Linked DNA regions of Saccharomyces cerevisiae S288C. The protein of the gene in region 1 purifies or fractionates together with the protein of each later gene. This does not show direct contact. Each region holds a gene or a part of one and is shown on either strand. Other genes may lie near its edges.

Region 1 (6,031 bases):
ATATATGATAGTAGATAACTTCCCCACTTTAACCCAATTTATCCCAGGTGAGAACGTTTCTTGTGAGTACTTCGTTTGCGGCATTATCAAAGGATTCCTTTTCAATGCTGGATTTCCATGTGGCGTGACAGCACATCGAATGCCCCAAGGCGGACATAGTCAACGAACCGTTTATTTGATCCAATTTGACAGGCAAGTGCTTGACAGGGAAGGTTTGAGATTTGGCTGATATCATCTCAAAACATCGGTAAATACCTAAAACCAAGAAAAGGATAAAGAGTTTGTATATTTACTGTTGATTTATAGACATATGCTCATATATTCATTACGAAGAATGATTCTTTTAATTGTCGATTTCCTTGAAGTACATCTATCATATAAAATCATTTTCTTTTTATATTTTGGAATGTTTTTGTGCTAAAAAAATCATTATTCTGGGCGACATACAGTAAAATAATATTTAATATGAAACAAAGCGTATCATTTTGTAGACACCGATATCACGTTTGAACAGGTGAATAAAAATGCTCTGAATCAAACTGACCCAGCGTACGTAATAAAGAATCCTGATCATTGCATACTTTCATAAACCAGCCTTTGAATTTACAATCTTGTAAATAGCCTTCCCAAGTTTTTGATATTGAATTATTATGCATGTCCATTTTTATATCCCCAGTGTTTGTGTGCAACTCAAAATCTTCATTCCATTTTATCCTCTTCATCACCAAATTCTCATAAAATTTGCATGATTTTTCGTTACCCACGACTATAATTATTCCTGGTCCGTCATCACGTATACGGAGGCATAAACCCTTTAGTGATAGTTCTTTACTATTCATTTTCAACTTGAATCTTATTTTTGGGTTCTGTAAGTTTTTGAACTGGAACACCTTACAATGGTATACTGTCGGCTTTTCAACGTTCATATTGACTGCTTCTTTCCTTCTTTTAATAGCATCTTCATGTCTTCTTTCGTTTTCTTCCAGATGTTTTCTCTTCCTGAGGTCCACTTGGTCTTTCACTACTTTTTCCCAGGCAGTTGGGTCCGTTATGTTTTGATCATTCTCGAAAACACTCATCATGTTGCTTAGTTTAACTTTCGGTTCAGGCTTAGGTAATAGTCCTAACTTAATTTTTATCTCCCGTGCTTCTCTTGCCATTTTCCTTCTATTTCTCCTTAATCTTTTCCTTTCATGTTGCGTTAGATATGCTTTGATTGATACTTTTGCCTCGTTGATCTTTTCAGGTAAGGGATGTGCTACATATCTTATAGATGGGTGCTCATCATCATCATCATCGTCTACTTCATCAATATCTTCTGCTAGCTTTTCTTCGGCAGGCGATGTGCCATTCATGTCATATTTTTCCATCAACTCACCCTTTTCATCTAAATAAGCCGTGTCCCACCATTCATAGCCATGATTATTATCATAGTATATCTTGAACTTTGACAAATCTAATAGGAACTTATCCTCATGTAACTCTAAATTGGGTAAATCACCTGACTCAATTAATTTTCTTTTATCTTTCTCGTCTTCTTCTTGTTTTAACTTTCTTTTTAATTCTTCCTCCTCCTGCTGTTTTTGTAATGTTCTTTCTTGGGCAATTCTTTTACTGATTTCTCCCTTTTGGTAAAACTTCAGACCCCGTTCATAACGCCTGTTAAATCTGCTCGATGAGCCTCGATCGTGTGGATCACTAAGATAGGGATTTTCACCAGTTTGATAAGTTCTTCGGATAAGATTCAAATTTGAAGACTTTAACGCTGAGTGAAGTTCGGTTTTCAGACCATGGCCCTGAAACTTCTCCTCATCATTGGTAGTTTCTTCACGCCGTAAGAAACTTGGCTTATAATATGGACTATTTTGGCGTTTCGGATTACCTTTTTCATAGGTATTTCTTGGGGGCATTTTTTCAAGCCAATTCAATAGATCGCCTGATGTTTTCTGTGAGTCTTTTTGATTGTTTTACGTCATCTGGCATTCTAATACTTTACTAGGACTATTTCTTGTTATTGATCAGTGCGGGATCCAGTCAGAAAAACGCAGATGTGAATAATATTAAAATTTGTATGCTAAAAAAATTAACATAGTCAAGAAACTTTCTTTGAGTCATGGCTCTTTACTTTAGAACATATAAGAACAATTCACAGTGCCTGTCCAGAGGCCAAAAGCAGTATCTCTAGCTAAATGGATATGTTAACTACTGTTTCATTGGAGAAGCAGTTTTTAACCTTCCTGTTTCGCGAATATAGCTGCCAAGTATTATCCAAAATTGGGGAGTGAAGAAAAAGTAATTATCAGCATTCATTTTCGAGAATTTTACCTAAACTTTTTCGATAACATTGATTGTTCACTACGTTACATAGCAAGCCAGAGCTAGAAAAACTTATTGATTACAATCAATAGACTTGCATCATACATAACTTCAGGGTACTTGCAAGAATTTTCCTACAAAAAAAGTTGACTACGACAACCTAAAGGAGAACAACAGATTTTGTCACCTCTCGTACTAGATAATTACCAAAAAAATGCTACCGAAAAGGAGATAAAACACATCTAGAACATAGTAGTATCATGTCATGGCTTTTTCAAATCTAAAATCTGTTCCCTGCAGTTGTCATTTTCTCTTAGTCGTCATTGATATTGTTAAAAAGTTCCGGAATACTATTGTTAGGTCGTATTCTTAAATGAATAAGCTGTCAAAAAATGGAGTAGTATGGCAGTAAATTTGGGAAGCACAAAAGAAAAAATAAAATTTCTTGATGAATGTGCCTTTCACGAATGTGACTTCTCTTCCATAAATCCTGTTTCTCATCAATGAGCAGCTTCTTCCTCCAAAGATAACTGTTGAACCCTATAATTGTGACAGGTCAAAGAAGCCAATATAATGAAAAAGATAGCCAGTATCTATATTTGAACCATTTTAAGGATTTCACTGAATTGCAACGATACTGTCTTGTTTCGTGGACCTTGCACTTCGTAGATTCATCATGTTCTATACGTTTTTCATTTCCGCATTCTAAACCCAAAAGACAAGGGTTACAGCGTATGTTACGACACAATTCAATTCACCATTCCTAAGAAGTTAATATTGCAATATTTTTGCAACAATAACAACCGCATTGCTTTGAAAGTAATTGCAATAACTATGGATAAAGATCCATTATCTTGACTGGTGCTACTTTCAAAGGAGGTATACCTAATAATATAAAGCTTTGAAAGAATTGACGTGATACTAACCTTGTACATTGATTCTCATTTTAACGATTTTACAAACTCACTTAGCACGCATTATTGCCGGAAATACGAATAGGAACCCAGCTTATAATGAACACTGTCCACATTTCTTTTAGGTGAGAATGCGATGATGGAATTGCAGCATTATTAATTACTAGTGTAGGGTATTGAATGTCATTTTTGTCGATTAATATGTACAATACATGTTATGCATAAAGGCACAAAGTCATAAAAATGTTATAGAATTATATCGAATAAACACATAAGAACGTAAGACCAACTACAGCCTTCCGAACCCAAACAATCCGCCACGCTTAGGCGTATTTTTACTCTCATCTTCCTTTCTGAAAGATGACGGGGATCTCGATTTACTCTTAAAAAAAGAGAATAAACCACCACCGCCTGAGCTTGGTTTCAAGTGTGCTGAAGTTACGACCGGTTTTTTAATACGTTTACCAGAGTTCGAATCATTAGATTTTACTTTTCTGAGCGAAGATGAGCTACTGACTTTCCTCAAAGATGAATCCTTATTACCAGAACTCACACTATATGACTTTGAAGGTGCCAAATGGGGAAGGCCTGGAACGGACAACTGATCTGTGTCACGATGATGGTGATGATGATGTTGTTGTTGCTGGTCCCCTGGGCTGTCTAGCGAGTGCCTAGATTTAATAGCACCCAGTGCAGCATTACCATCTACATTCTTGACACTCGACGCGAACTTGATTTGCGGAGAACGTGATCTCGACGCACTCGCACTTGAGTTTATATCGGTAGCAGTAGGAGAGCTTGGTTTTGATTTGTCTCTTATCCTTGACTTAGAGCTTGATCTTGACTTGGATTTGGATCTAGATGAACTTGGATTGTCCAAAACATCAAGCATGGACCTCTGCGGGGTAGCCACATGCCTTGGAGGAGCACCACCTGTGATGACTCTTTTCAGTTCTTCAAAGCCCGACTCCATAGAGTGTGCTCTCTTTTCGTCTACATCCCCATTTTCAATACTATCAGTGATGCTATCGATTTCTAATGAAAACTTTAATGAAGATTCCAAAATAATATTCAGTTTTTTCAAATGCCTCTGTCCCGGTGGTATTGATGAATCATGATCGGCGTCATTTAACTGCTGAGCCATACTCTTTCTACGTTTCCTTGCCATGGTACATAACTTTTCCTTTACCGAAATGTTAGAGGTTAAGGATTTCACGGACATCACATCATTCTCATCATCCTTAAAAGCGTTAAGCTCATCATCAGATGCTTCCTCTCGGCTACTATTGTTAGCACCATTAGCTTCTGGGGCATAACATAGTGAATCTATAGAATAATCGTTATCTTGCTTCCGTTTGATATTTGAGATAGTTGGAATGCTAGCATCTGCTGATTTAGAATGGCTGAACCCAGGCTTTGGACCGCTAGTATTTTTTTGTTTCGTTACCTCCGGTTCTTTAAACTCTTTTTGCAAATCTATTTCCAAATCGAACATTCTCTTTGCCGGTACAATAAACGTTGGAATCGGAAAATTAGTACACAGTTTATCTGTCAGAAAGTTCGATTTCCAACGAACTAAGCTGTCTGTTCTCTCCCACCTCAAAGTGCTAGATACAAAGAAATCAGGTAAATAGATGTTTATTGCCTCAAGAAGCGTTTTTTTAGTCTTGCCAATTAGGATCTCGACAGTGACCTTGACAGAACGATCTTGCGGAATTATGAGTGTAACATAATCAAAAAGATCTTGCAATTTACGTTCTATTTCGTTCTGCGTATAACCAGATGTCCACTCGATAAAATTTTGGTGCTTTAATTTGTTGTCAGATTCCTCAGGCCCCAGAGAAAGTGCCCTTCTTGTACATATGGATCGTGATCTCGATCTGGATCGTGATCTTCTTGCTGAGCTAACACTCCTGCTATCATCCATCATCATTAGCATTCTTTTTCGCTCACTCATCGAATCATTGTCTTCGAAATTATTCTTAGTCAGGCGGGGCAGGTTTGCCAACACAACAATGTGGTCTGTATTTTGAATCAAAGTTCGTAGCGCCCAATCTAGTGCTACCCAAGTATGTTTCCTGCCGCTGATGTGGCACAATATCGTTCGAGGAGTGTTCGGGAACCCAACCTTTTCGCTCAAAACACGCTCTTTCCGCTTTTGAGACTTAGTCAAAGGCGTAAAGCCGTCTTCTATGGGAGGATTGAATTTTATTGTGGGAGTAGCGCCCTCAGACGACTTTTTTTTGTTTGGAGGAAACAGTATTGTTGGGTAATTGAAGAAATCGCGCTTTTGTTCTAATCGATGATCTATCTGATTTTTCTTCTTGATCCATAGTTGTCTCCAATTGGCATACGCCCTACTAATCACAAGAGCGTCATTGATATCGGTGGGTGTAGTAGGATAGTCTTCCCTTACAATTTTACCATTTTCAGAAATCTTAAACATCTTACCTATTTTGATGTTTCTTTTAGAGGCAGGAGGTGGAGAAGAATACCTGCCGGGACTAGCACTGCCCTCTCGCCTACTCGAATAGCTATTCCCGGAGAAGTAGTCGGCATTGTTGTCCGAGGTAAAGCCACTTTCGTCGTCATAATATTCCTCCATTGTATAATCTGCAGAGATCTGCACGCCAGGAAATTCTCTTTTCTCTTCATCTAAGGGCGAAGATACCCTTGATCTGGGAACTGTGTTGAAAGATACGCATGGTAGGTACTTTTCGTTGCTGCCTTTCCCCTTCTTTTTGACGGAACTGCTCGAGTCCAATATCGAGGCTAGACTGCGCCTGTCATCATTGTTGGAC
Region 2 (7,954 bases), on another chromosome or scaffold:
GTTAACAAACGCGGCGACCTGCGCAAGCTGTGAATCAGTAAGCGTTAAAATTTCATCCCTCTCTTCATCCTCAAGGGCCATTATATCATAGACCGTCTCGACGTTAATTTCTTTACATTTTTCCAAAATTTTGTTGTTGAAGTGTGGAATCTGTCTCAACGGATTATCAACGTCCCATACACCCTGAATCAACATCTGCGCCAAATCCATGGCGGTAGTAGCATTCAAATACCCGTTTGCTGAAAGGATATCAACCACTACGTTAATTAGTGGAACAACCTTTTCTAGAATGTCTTTTAAATCATTTTGAAAGTCGACAGGTAATTCAAGACGTGAAAAATATGCTTGTAACAATAAGAAAACTTTAAAGCTCACCGAACCAGAAGAGGTGTGTTCAGGGAATCTCAATGGTAGTCTTTTACTTAATTTGACAAGTAATGCTCTGTCTCCTTTTCTGAGTGGAACACTTTCGAATTCTACTGCTGTTGAAAGAACATACAGCATGTTTTTGAGCGTTGACGTATTCGATAAAGAAGAAACGAATGACTGAATAGTAAAAAATGATACGCCATAGTGAGAAGCAATTAGCCCGTTGCTCAAGGTAGAAATGATTTCAGTTGCTTCATCATCTCCTCCATTAACTTCTGCGGTTACTTCAGCTTCTGTATCGTCAATTTCAATGAAGGATGATTCAACTAAGTCATTCAAACAAGTTTCAACTAAATTACTCAAAAAAACTGAAATTCCATGTGGAGACGTATCCCTTACGCCATAATAGCTTGGATTCACATGGATACGACGATAGAAATACGAATATGTAAACCAGTCAACACAATCTTGTTTGCTTTGTATAATAGAATTTGCTATCTCGTTGTTCAGAGTATCATGAATAATATACTGTAGGTAACTCTCAGTAGGCAAAGGCTCAATTAAGAATTTTTTGTAGTAGGCCTTCATGTTGTGACTTGTCAAAATTAAAACCTTGCCTGCCATTGAATCGTTACCACTAGCTAGTCCCACCATTTCTAGAAGTTCATTTATGGTATATGGCATATATTTATGCTCTGCACCATCATAAAGGTTGGTTCCTAAAATAATCACTTCATCAGTTTTACAAGCGAATGCAGAACAATCCTTAGAAATGAGTAAAACCGATACCGCACCATATTCGTATAACCTTTTCACAATTCTTTCATCATTTGATGCCATCCCCTTATACAAAATACCAACACCGTGTTTTAAAGGTGCTCTTAGATGACCATCTGTTAACTTTTCAATGTATGGTACAATTTGCTCTTCTTCAACGTTCAACATATCCCATTCAATTGCTTTTGAAAACTTCATAAATGCAGACGCAACTTCCATACAATCCTTTCTAGATGGTAAGAACACCGAACTGGAATTACGATTTCCCGCTGCAGCAGCAGATGCTTCAAATGCCATTTGAAGCATCGAAAAATTGAATGATATGTGCTCAACATCTTTAAATGACTGAATATTAATTTCAAGAGGCTCAATTCTTTCGCTTGGAGAAAAGTTGTAGATGTTTGACTTCGTCATACCAGCCCATTCACCAAAATCACGAGCATTTGCCAAACAGTTCGAAAGGCAAACAAATCGAATTTTCTTTTCAAGTTGGGTTGCTATAAATATCATTCTAGAAATTAGCGTTTCATACACAGCACCGTAAACACCTTGGCTAATCTCATGAGCGTCATCATATATCATTAATTCTAAACTTTGGATGTTCTTCCTTTGTCTCCAACGACGTGACAAAAGCTCAAATTGCACGGGGGTAGCCAAGAGAACATGGCTTTTTGCTAATAATTTTAAATTTAGTGAAGGATCATTTCCTAGCTTATTTATTATCTTACCACCAGCAAGATGAGAGAACCTTTTATTCCAATCAGATAGCAAAAAATCAATTTTTTCCCCAGACGGATTGATATAAACCGCTCTTCCTTTATTCTGTCTCCAATGATTTAACAGTGCTAATTCAGCCATAGCTGTTTTACCTGTGCCCTTTCCTGAACCTACAAAGACCGAGTCATTCGAATTGTAGAGAGACTCGAAGACCTGGCTCTGAATCTTGTTGAAAGTTTTAAATTCAAATACTTCGGAAAAATCATCATTGCCAAGCTCTGATGTTGAAATACTAATATTCTCCAGAAGGGGAGTAGGAGGAGGAAATTTTTTCGGAAGTTTAAATCCATTGAAGGAAACTGGAATCTCGAATTCACTGTGCCACCAATTTTCTGATATCAAAGTAAGGAAGAAATTAGGTGGTAAGTTATTTTGATTGTGCTGCTTTAACTCATAAGTAAAGGATAAGGTAAATTCATGACCAACTATATCTGGAGTGATGAATAGTACGTCATAATAAAGTATTGAATCACCATCAGTGTCTTCTAGCATGAGCAAAAAAGGTTCAAGGGAACCGTGTACATTCATATCCCATATCCAGTCGGCTATTATTTCAATGTTGAACCTCATAACGCTACGGGTAATTGGCTGAGCGTTGCATGTTACGGACATTTTGGGAAATCTTTTCAATAAATCGTAAACCTGTTTTCCATATTTTTCAGATCTGATTGCACGACCAACTTCGGCAGGTGTTTCTAGCTGTAGATAATCTCCCCACGGTACTGTAGAGGCTTCCAGCCTTTTAATCACTTCGACAGGGCATGTTTTAAACTGTCTTAAAGGACAGTTTGTTGGCCACATTTTAGTTGTGGCAGATTTGCAAAGATTTAACAACATCCGTGTGGGATGTCCCCATCCTCTCTTCAAGCATATTTCAAACATAGCACGCAATAACCTACCAGCATTTTGGTGAATAAACACTATATCAGAATTAAGTGCAAAACCTTCGAACTTTAGCTGGGAAAAATAAGACTGCAGTAGTACATTCACTTTTGCTAAAGGATCATCAATATCTTCTCTGATAGGAATGGGTGCTTTCTCTAGAAGTTGTTTTAGTTCTCTTTTCTCTTCATATCTCACCGATACGTACTTAAACTCTTCCGACATTGAGAATATTCTAAAAAGATCAATCTGAGTTGTATGTTCATCTAACTCTCTATTGTAAACATCCATGGAAGCATGATTTATGTAAAATGACGACGCTATATTTCCTAGATCGGTCGCCTCAATTACATCATTTTCAGCATCATATAACACCAACTCTTGTTCTTTTAAAATGCATAGGGCCGAATGGACTAAGCTTTCTCTAAACTTTTTCAATTGCCCATCACTTGAAATATCAGGTACTTTGTAAAGCATAGGGGAAGCTAACATTCTGACATATAGGTAAGTATACGCCAACCAATTCACAGCATCATTCCTGCACTTAATGTTACCCGCGACAACTTCTGCATTTAAGTTGTCAACTAATTTTGAAACAAATTGCGATTCTATTGGTAATTGTTGATTTAAAACCGAGAGATAATATTGAACATTCGATTGGTCTGTTATTATAATACCCTCGCCAAATGTGTCATATCTCGGTCTGCCTGCTCTACCTAACATTTGAAGTACATCTTGTGGAGAAAGTTGTTCCCAGGACCCCTTTTCAGGTGAATAGACATCTGTTCCTTTTATAATCACTGTATGAGCAGGTAGATTAACACCCCATGCTAACGTCGCAGTGCATACCAATACTTGCAACAACCCGTCTGCAAATAAATCTTCAGATAAGGATCTGTCACTTCTGGTCAGCCCTGCGTGATGCGTCCCTATACCGCTTTCAATCAACTTTCGTAGACTTGGATCGAGTACGTTGGCTGCTTCTGTCTTTAAAATCTGCTTCGATCCTGCATCATTTTTGGTTAATTTATGAGTAATGTTCTCTTCAGCAAATTTATTTTTCAACCATGTTGCTGTTCGTGATGTTTCTTTTCGAGAATGAACAAACACGATTATTTGATTACCTTCATTGATGGATTCCAATACCTTTTCATAACAAGCATCATTCATAGCCTTCAGCTTTTTCAAGGAGTTCCGTTCCTTAATGCCACAAAACTGTTGAGATAGAGGACACGGTCTAAATGAGGAGTCAAAATAAAACAATCCTTCCTTCGGAACTCTTAAAAACCTACCGACATCCTCATAATTTGGTAAGGTGGCAGAAAGGCCTATTATTCTGGGGTATTCCTGGCCATATTTGGAAGCCCAAAATGTCCTAGCCACGATGCTTTCCAATACTGGTCCCCTGTCATCATGTAACAAATGTATTTCATCTATAATCAACAAACGAACAAGTTCTACGATGGCCAAATTATTTGAATTTCTAGTAGTTATGTCCCATTTCTCTGGCGTAGACACCAAAACCTGCGTCTCGTCAATTTGCTTTCTACTAAGCCTAGAATCACCAGTCAATTCAGCGACTTTTATACCTAGAAAAGCCAACCTCCTTTGAAATTCTCGGACTTGTTCCTGTACTAAGGCTTTCAAGGGTGCTATATAAACAATTTTAAATGCAGAAAGGTTTAATTTCTTAGTTTTCGGGTTATAATGATGGGATAAGGCTTTCAATACCGTCAATAACGCGATATTCGTCTTACCTGAACCAGTGGGTGCACATATTAGCATGTTTGAATCACCTTCAAATGCTGCGTGAAAAACCTTTGATTGTATAGGGTTTAAGGACGTTGTTTCCGATGAAGGAAACGCCTCCTGACACCAATCTGGTAGAGAAGTAATTTCTTTCAACTCATAATCAATAACAGGTTTGCTAGGAGCTGGAATATGTATTTCGTCATATTGTGGTTTCACCCTTTTGAATGATCCTTCCGGTAGGGATACTTTTGTCACGGTCATTAATTTAGAACTTTCGTCGAATTTAATCTTTTCCAAATCTATGACGGGCGGTATTGCTGGATTACTGAATTTTGTTCTTTTTGCTTCCGAAGACTGTGGCTGGTCGTCACCGGAATCGAGTTCACGCTTTGAGTGTGTAGTTTCTCTAAATTTATACTGTTCCACAAGATCATTCAAACCTTTTGCAACCATTTTCTCTATTAAGTTCGGTATTTCATTCTCTGTGCTCTTCGCCAGTCGTATGCCCCAAAAAATTGTAGATCTATTCTTGAGAATAAATTCAGCCAGTGATATATTCTCGAATTTAAGCAGATCAACCAACTTCTGCTCCAACGCTACTGGATTATGCTCAAGTGTTTCAATATCATTCAAAATTTTTTCTGACAGGTCTTGTATTACAGAGGTATCCTTGTAACCAAGCTCTGACCGAAGTTTTCTCTGCAAAAAAAATTCATCGATTGAGTATATCGGAACGCTCTCGATATTACTTGTTTTACTATCGGAGAGTTTAATTATATCGTTTTCAATGTTTGGCAATGCCCTCTTGTTTTTTTTTTTAGAATTGACTTCAACGTCATTGTAATCATATTCCTCATCATCATCTTCATTATCATTGATTTCTCCCCCAAGAACATTAGCATTGTTGGACATTTCTGTTACTTCTTCTTCATCTGATTTTTCATCATCGGCAAGAATTGCTACTGCTTGTTTATTGCTATTGTCAGGATGTGTTTCATAATCGGTAATGTTTTTCATAAGTTTAACTAATTCGTTAAACTTCAGGGAGTCTATATTGATGCCTAGCTCATGCTGGATCTTTTCCTTTCGCTCTTCAATATTACCATCCTCATTTTCCTCATTTTCTTTCAATTGTCTGATGAATATATCAGCAGTTCCAATAATAAGATCATGGGGTATATCATTGCCTAAAACTTCTGTAACCCACTGCAAAATCTGCTCGTAAGTTTCGACATTTGAGGGATCCTTTGGATAATAATGTAACCTGAAATCGGAGGAAGAATTCAAAATGGTGTTATGCTGCTGAATTTTTTTCAATGATGCGCTCTTTCCAGTTTTTTCAACGGCTACATCATTTTCTTTTAGTCCTTTATTAATGTTATTGCACAGGCCCTGTCCCATATCCTTAGCACTAATTCTACCACTCATGGATTTTGGTTGTGATATTTCCGCATCCCTTTGAGGATTTTGGCTGGTATTCATAAAGCGTTTATCAACTTTCAACACCTTATTGGACATCTCATCATAACGATAAATTTCTCTAATTTTTTTGGCCTTATCCTTCGTTTCATGCTCAGTCATTTTTAATAACGAAGGCTCACGGTAAATCTTCCAAAGCAATTACTTATATTTACCTTCACCTTATTTTACTCAAGATTATCTCTATTAGTGTATTATTCCTTTATAGTAGACATAGCTTTAGTAGCATAAATTTTTAATATTCTCGTAAAGAGCGACAATATTCAATATTAGATCGTCAAAGAAGCAAACACGCATTGATATCTGAGAGATCATCACAATGCGTTAATAGTACTTGATTCAACACCACTAATTATCAAGTTTGTTCCTGTCTGAATGATATGGATAGTACGAATTTGAACAAACGGCCCTTATTACAATATAGTCTCAGTTCATTGGGCTCGCAAATAACAAAATGGAGCTCATCTAGACCGACTTCGCCAGTTCGTAAGGCGAGAAGCACTGAAAATGACTTTCTTTCCAAGCAAGATACGTCTAGTATCCTCCCAAGTATCAACGACGACGGCGGTGAACAGTGGTACGAAAAGTTCAAGCCCAATTGTTTGGAGCAAGTGGCCATACATAAAAGAAAACTTAAAGATGTACAAGAAGCTTTAGATGCCATGTTTTTACCTAACGCCAAGCATAGGATCCTACTACTGTCTGGCCCCAGTGGATGCTCTAAAAGTACGGTCATAAAAGAACTCTCAAAAATCTTAGTTCCTAAATACAGACAAAACAGCAACGGAACGTCCTTTCGAAGCACCCCGAACGAGCATAAAGTGACCGAGTTTAGAGGTGATTGTATAGTCAACGATCTTCCTCAGATGGAAAGCTTTAGTGAGTTCTTAAAAGGCGCACGGTATCTTGTGATGTCCAACCTGTCATTAATACTTATCGAGGACCTTCCCAACGTCTTCCATATAGATACCAGACGTCGATTTCAACAACTTATATTACAGTGGCTATATAGTTCGGAGCCTCTATTACCTCCCCTTGTTATATGTATAACTGAATGTGAAATTCCAGAGAACGATAATAATTATCGCAAATTTGGTATTGATTATACATTTAGTGCAGAAACCATAATGAACAAAGAAATATTGATGCATCCAAGGTTGAAAAGAATTAAGTTTAATCCAATTAACAGCACTTTATTAAAAAAGCACTTGAAATTTATTTGTGTACAGAATATGAAAATGTTGAAGGAGAAAAATAAATGGAATAAAAGACAGGAAGTCATAGATTATATTGCGCAAGAGACTGGTGATATTAGGTCGGCCATTACGACCCTTCAATTTTGGGCGACATCAAGTGGAAGTTTGCCGATTTCAACCCGAGAATCCACCATATCATACTTTCATGCCATTGGGAAGGTGATACATGGTTCCCATAGCACGAATAACGATAACGAAATGATTAATAACCTCTTCGAAAATTCGAACAATTTGTTATCGAAAGAGGATTTCAAATTAGGAATATTAGAGAACTATAACACATTTAATAAAGGCGAATTCAGCATTTCTGATGCATCATCAATTGTGGATTGCCTGAGCGAGTGTGATAATATGAATGGTCTACCAGAATCCAATGAGTATGGTTTACGAGAAGTGCGCAAAACCTTTCGTAACATCAGTAAACAAGGCCATAATCATGGAACGGTTTATTTTCCAAGAGAATGGAAAGTAAGAAAATTACAAAATTCATTTAAAGTTCAAGCTGAAGATTGGTTAAATGTTAGTCTTTATAAGTACAACGCGGTACATTCTTTCAGGAATATAACTCTAGAATTTGGCTACTACGCACCTCTAATTAGAAAGTGTCAGAGTTATAAAAAAAAATACATTCTCTATTATTTGAAGAATCTTCCGAGTGGCTC

What was found.
Region 2: the proteins of PRP3 (region 1) and BRR2 purify together in Saccharomyces cerevisiae (affinity purification with mass spectrometry; 8 studies listed by BioGRID, with this or other methods). This does not show direct contact.

The regions. Positions count from the first base shown.
Region 1 is NC_001136.10:1,403,945-1,409,975, forward strand, and holds PRP3 (U4/U6-U5 snRNP complex subunit PRP3), read right to left. Parts: upstream 1,911-6,031; coding exon 501-1,910; downstream 1-500. Other genes in the region: TRAPP subunit TRS31, read left to right, coding at 1-229; JIP4 (Jip4p), read right to left, coding at 3,520-6,031.
Region 2 is NC_001137.3:529,884-537,837, forward strand, and holds the start of BRR2 (ATP-dependent RNA helicase BRR2), read right to left. Parts: upstream 6,139-7,954; coding exon 1-6,138. Other genes in the region: RAD24 (Rad24p), read left to right, coding at 6,417-7,954.